Coturnix japonica: one gene and its partner. The protein of the gene in region 2 purifies or fractionates together with the protein of the main gene of each other region. This does not show direct contact. Links are inferred from orthologs where the notes say so. Each region holds a gene or a part of one and is shown on either strand. Other genes may lie near its edges.

Evidence for each region. The genes of interacting proteins can lie anywhere in the genome.
Region 1: the proteins of SRSF3 (region 2) and NCBP3 purify together in Homo sapiens (co-immunoprecipitation; 3 studies listed by BioGRID and IntAct, with this or other methods). This does not show direct contact. The link is inferred for Coturnix japonica from reciprocal best matches to the Homo sapiens genes SRSF3 and NCBP3.

The regions. Positions count from the first base shown.
Region 1 is NC_029534.1:3,956,239-3,959,044, forward strand, and holds the end of NCBP3 (nuclear cap-binding protein subunit 3), read right to left. Parts: coding exon 2,672-2,806; 3' UTR 562-2,671; downstream 1-561. UniProt on the Homo sapiens protein: Associates with NCBP1/CBP80 to form an alternative cap-binding complex (CBC) which plays a key role in mRNA export. NCBP3 serves as adapter protein linking the capped RNAs (m7GpppG-capped RNA) to NCBP1/CBP80.
Region 2 is NC_029541.1:1,938,801-1,942,321, reverse strand, and holds the end of SRSF3 (serine/arginine-rich splicing factor 3), read right to left. Parts: intron 2,312-3,521; coding exon 2,273-2,311; intron 1,687-2,272; coding exon 1,600-1,686; intron 1,384-1,599; coding exon 1,356-1,383; 3' UTR 570-1,355; downstream 1-569. UniProt on the Homo sapiens protein: Splicing factor, which binds the consensus motif 5'-C[ACU][AU]C[ACU][AC]C-3' within pre-mRNA and promotes specific exons inclusion during alternative splicing.

The DNA of each region.
Region 1 (2,806 bases), on a different chromosome or scaffold from region 2:
GCCCATAATAGGCCTCATAAGGCAGCACTAAGAACCTCCCCCAGCCCAAGGCCTCCCATCCCAGCACCACTCACCTCAGGTCGGACCGCGGGGCCGTTCCAGGCGGGGCTTGGTGCTGCTATTCGCCTCCATTAGGGCCTATTCTCCTTTATCCCCCTCAACTGCCGCCTAGATCGCTCGGGCCTACAGCCCTGTGTGGACAAGGAGGCGCAGCCCTCACCGCGAACAACCACACCGCGGCCTGGCGCACGAGGAGAAAGGGCGGGAAGAACCGAGACCTCTGCTTATAAAGGCCAGGGATGTACCACCCTACGGCGGGGGGTGGGCCGCACCGCTGATCTCGCGAGAGAGGGGGTGGGCCGCACTACTGTTCTCGCGAGAGGTGGGCAGGCTGTACCACTTTCGAGGCGGGGGGTGGGGGGGAGCGAGGCGTCCATTTCTCACAGCGCGGAGGGAGGGAGGGAGCGCTGAAATGGGGCCTACAACTGATTAGTGGGGATGGAGCCTTTGTGGATCGCAAAAATAAGGGATATTAATGAAAGAACACACTCAAATGGGACATTACGGTGATCAGACACTGCAGTGCTTTACTCTCAACAGCACTTGGATGAGCCATATTTATATATTTAATAATTAAATATAAACAGTGGGGTGTCACAAAACAAGATGTGAAAACCAGACAGTCCCTGGTTTCCATTTCTCATTGCTGTACCTTCCACTTCCCCTTTAATTAAAGCAGTAAGAAGAACTGCAGACTCCTTTGATGCAACTTCAAACCTATTCCAACTTAGAAAACCAACCAAATAACCAAAAACACAAAACAAAGAGAGGAAGAGGGGGGAAAATAAATGCTAAAAGGCAAATAGGAGAGAGATACAGACATTCAGGACTGATAGAACATGGGAAGTAGGGATACAATCATAAGATGGAAGGGATATTGAGGTCACCTGGCAGCCCCTGCATGAACAGGGCCATGCGGTGTGTCCAGGCAGCTGCTGACAGCTCCAAGGATGTCAAAGCTCCACAAGTTCCCTGAGCAGCCAGTGCTCCATCAGCCACGCAGTAAAGAAGTGCTTCTTCAAGTTCAGACAGAACCTTCTGTGTTCCACTTTGTGCCTTCTGCCTCTTATCCCATCTTATCACCAATGAAGATAGCTCAGCTCTCTTTGCGTTCTCCCTTCAGGTGTTTATATACACATAACCCCAGCCAGGGTTATGAAGGATGAACTTAGGATGTTATCCAGGATGAACAGACTTAAAGACAAAGCGAACATCTTCAGAGGGTCAAAAACATAACAGACAATGGTGGGGTGTCTTTTTTGCCACCAGCAGAACACAATGTGCTATCACAGAATGACCCGGGTTGGAAGGGACCTCAAGGATCATGTAGTTCCAACCCCCTGCCTGGCAGGGCCACCAAACATACACCTTTACTAGATCAGGTTGCCCAGGGCCCCGTCCAACCTGGCCTTGAACACCTCCAAGGACGGGGCATCCACAACCTCCCTGGGCAGCCTGCTCCTGTGCTATCATTAGAACTCATTCAGTATGACTGGCAATCAATATATGTGCCACAGGCAATGAGAGGGAAAAAAACTGCAGCTGCACTCTGATCAAACCTTTATGTAGAGAGGATACGCGGGTAAAGAAATAAAAAGCTGAATGTAACAAGTCAACCAGGTGCACATCCACATGTAATATACAAGAACACTCCAAAATACTGACATGGGACAGCAATCTGATAGTTTTCCTTTTCTCTTTCAGTGATATATATGGGTAGTTTAAACAGCACACAGGAAAACATCACTAGAGCTTTTTTTCTCACCATGGCCAACGGGAAATTTCCACAAGTATAAAAATGGAAGTTTTTCAACTGTTAAGATTTCTTCAAAACGTAATAATACAATTGGATGAGAGAATTTCTCAATATGTAACTAGGAAAAAAAAAAGATAAGAAAAACCTTCAGGAATTTGCACAATTCTCTCAACCAACTTTGCAGTCTGAAACACTGCAATTTTTGCTTACAGCAGAACTCAGTACCACCAAAACAAACAGATGAAGTCCTGGAGAGCAGTGATGCTATATGGATACCGCATGAAACCTCACTATACTACAGCGTTGGATTTACATTCATTATTTTGGAGGAAGGAAACGTGACAGTCCCTTTATGCTTTCTCCTTGCTGGCTGCTTACCCAAGGAAGCATTATTGTTATTACTTGAAGAGGAAAGGTGCTGGTAAGTGCCAGAAGGGCAAGGCAATGGTGCTGACTGTGAAATGCCCTGTTCTTTGGATGAACTGTGTAAAACATTTTGTTAAAAGATTCCATGTTAAAAATATTAAGAACAAAAAGGTCTTCTTAAAAATACAGAGTGTTTCTCCCTCTTCTTTTAAATTCAGAGTTTAGGGAAAAGCGTTTGGCTAGAATTAACTACAGGTTTGCTGTAATTAACATATAAGACAATGCCCTACATAACACAGGGCCAACCACAGACTCCAGACAAACATGATTGCTTTAGGTTTCAAGTGGCATATGCATCTCTATTTGTGTATAAAAGGAACTGAGACATTTCTGGAACCTTCACTGCAGTCTTTGCCAGTGTTCAGCTTTTGGGCAAAGGAAATCTTTGCCTCACTGCAGAGTCACGATCTTGAGGATCAAAGTGTAAAATCAGGATTCAGTATCTGATCCAGAACTGCTTTCTCGGCTGATTTCAATTTGTAGAGAAGGTAAATTATCCAGTCGACTCTTTTTTTGCCGAGACTCCTCTTTTTCCTTAATGAGAGCACCCCAAACCCGCTGGAG
Region 2 (3,521 bases):
CCATGGCCAGACACCTAACACAGGTATCTATCCCCACAAGAGATGGGCTGACAATGTTCTGTGACCAAACCTGACCTGAACAAGCATCTGTTTAGTGTTTGCAGTGTGAACAGCACCAGCCTGACCTCTGCTGGGGCAGGGTGAGCACAGCACACAGCTGCACCCAGAGCCGGCTGCCTCCTGCTGACAGCTCCTCCCTGCCCTGAAGGGAACCAACCCACATCCCCTCTAAGGGCTGCACATCAGGCTTAACCACCCACCATGAGATGCAGCACTAGTTTCCCACCAGCAGCACACAGCCCTGTGTGGCAGGATCATTACACAACATTAAATTCCTTATAAAGACATACACACATTTAATTCTTAAGCTCCTTGCCCTCCACATGTAGACATACCTACATAACCAACACCTTTCCTGCTGCTTTGTGGGCACAATGCTGCTCCTTCAGCAAAACTCCCAGAGAAAACTAAACAGACACCAAGGTCTCCCTGCTGCCACTGACAGCTATGCCATTGTTTGACATTTCAGGTGAGGTCTTCACACATTCACTTGAGTTAAACACCGAACAACAAGTTGTAACCAAAACTTTAATCCCAAGGATCTCACAAAAGACATTTTACAAGTGACATGAAAATTCTTGTACAGTAAAGAAATGTTTAATTCACAGCTTTTACAATGTACCATTACACGGTCAACACATCCACTCCAGTCGTCAGTTCTGCTGTGTATTTGGTCTATTCAGAGGTCCTGGAATAGATGGTCAAGCTATCGGCTATTTAAGAAGCACTCTAGTCACACGAAGTACAAGATTAACTGAGCCTACAAGCTAAAACATTGTATATCATAATACAAAGTAGCTCTGTTCCAGTAATGGAAGTCAGAACCAGAGCCGTGGTAATAGCAGCTCGCAGTTCCCTTTGTGACTGCTGGTAAGCAAACACCTGCACCTTGTCCTGTACTAACACCACTCACAGCCACCGCTCTGCAACAAACTCCTTTGCTGCACACTCCCCTCCACAAGCTGAACCCCAGCAAATCACACCCTGCAGAATGTCGAGACCTGAAACATCACCTACGCAAAGACAAACTGGTAACCATTGAACACTATTAAGTATAAGGGTACATTGTAAAAAGTGATTCATATTACAATTCATATGATCTGCTTAGAACCATATACAGATTCACATCTTTACATTTGCCACCTGTTACAAGATACAAGGAAAGCAAGTTCAACAGCTAAAACATTTTAAAAATGCACCAAGCTTTATGAAATTCCAAAACAAAACAATGTTCTGTACATACTCCCCTGGACTCAGATCTAAGGACTTCCTGTACACAGCTCCCTCTCAAAGTCTTACTTCCTCTCGTTTGACCTGGAGCGACTGGAAGAGAAAGAACCAACCACACATCAGCTGGTGTTAAAGGCAGCACATTCAAACCTCCCACCCCAACCCAGCACGTGGCAGATGAGCATTTCACAATAATGCTCCAATTAATAAAATAGGTCTTAATTCCAGGGTGAATGCCCTCATAAAAGGCTGAAGGTTGCTCTCCCCCACAGTGTGTCTCAGTATTACTAAGGATGCTGAGTTACCCACCTGCGAGACCTGGAGAAGGAACGAGAAGGCTTATGGTTCCTCTCCCGTGAGAGTGATCTCTCTCTTCTTCTGTCTCTGGAGAGGGACCTGTTAGAGACAGCAGCACAAGGATTATAACAACGGAACGAAGCTGAACTCGTTAAGATTACATGGCTGCCTCAAGAGATTGCCTTCAGGACATCAAGTTTTCCCTTCCTGAAACCCTTTCCAAGACTATGACAATAACCAGCTTGTGCCATCTAATACAAACCAAGCTGATGTAAACAGGCTGTGCTTTCTCAGCACCTCAGCTAACTCAGTGCATCAATACATACTTGAGCATCTTTTAATACACCTTATCCAATGCAACTGCAAAATAACCACGTATAAACCCACTGTGCATTCACTGCTTCACACACACTGCAGCATGAGGGCTGGACACACTCACTGCACACTGCTTCTCATCACAGCATCTGAAAGAACTGGAAGGGACTGTGGACAGCTGTGTGATATGAAGTATATTAAGAGTGGAAATAAGTTTCCAGCTGATAACTGTGCAATCTCCTGTAGGTAAGGTCAAGCAAATCCACTTCTCCAGCGTGCTGAGTTACATTGCTCACCCAGGAATGTATGCAGACACAGCCCCATTTGCTCACCTCCTTTCACATCTCAGACAGTAACAATGTGTACGTACCTGCTGCGGCTACGAGAAAAGCTTCTCCTTCGCGGTGATCTAAAACCAGAAAGACAATGTGAGGCTTTTTATCAACCCTGCCAGCATTAACGGGGTGAGGCATTTCCCAACTTGTCAAACTCACTGTTGGGCCCTGGGAACGTGCCAAGAATAACTGGCATCCATCATCCAGTCAAAGGCATGGAAAGATTAGGCAATAAACCAAGCTCGGTGTGAACAGCACATTTCCAATCACCGTTTCAGTTATAACTAAGAATGCTTCATAGCAGAGTTGTCCAATGCAACACTTCCATTTCAACTAAATACACTGCCCAAAACACCACACCAAAGTCCCACAAAGTGGTTCCAAAAAATAGCACAGACCAAATGTTTTGGAACCCATGCAAGCCAAAAAGGTCCATGACAAGACATAAAAGAGATACCAAGTGGGAAAAAAAAGTGAAAATGCGCTCAGTGTAAATATCGACAACGCCATTAAGTGCTACATTAGAACTGCATATCTGTGATTGTCATTCTTAATGCCATAGTGTGTTTAGACTACTTTAAAGAAGTCAATAACCTTAGCTCGGCCCAGTTCATCCCAAAAAGTAATTGTTTTAAGTTCTGAAAACTGTTAGTAAAACCGTTTAAAGGTGATAGGATTTGCTTTGGTTTTCTTTATTGCAATAAAAAAAAAAGCTAAGTTGGTTAGAGCTTTATTAAAATTTAGTTTGCCATCTCACATGCAAATAGACTCGTTTGTACGTTATTTCAACAGTCAGACTTTCCATATCACCCTTAAAAGTTTCCTCAAGCAACATAGGTACGTTACCATTCAATTATGCACAGCCAGCCTTTGATTGAGAAAAGTAATTACTTATAAGCCGCTTACTCCTTATTTTAACCAGCAGTAAACTGTATAAGCAGGAAAAACTTACTAGTTTTTGGTTTCAACAAGCTAGAAATGGTGAGGTGAGGCTGCCGGACTGACTGCCAAGAAGAATTTGCTGAAAAGGTTTTGCCAGATGTTGCGTTGTATTTAGTTGGTTGGCGAAGGGGGTGTTGTGGATTTTTCCTGCTTTTTTGTTAGCCGAAGGCTGCTGCTGTAGTTGTTGTGAAGACATTTGGTAAATAAACAGCTGAGCTGATTGGCCGGGAATGTGTGGGCGGTCGAGGTGGCTGCTGCCGATTTGGTTAAGGTTGGAGAGAAGGCTGAGAGAAAACAGCATGCTCGGGAACCAAAGGGCGGTGCAACCTGACGACTGGCCAT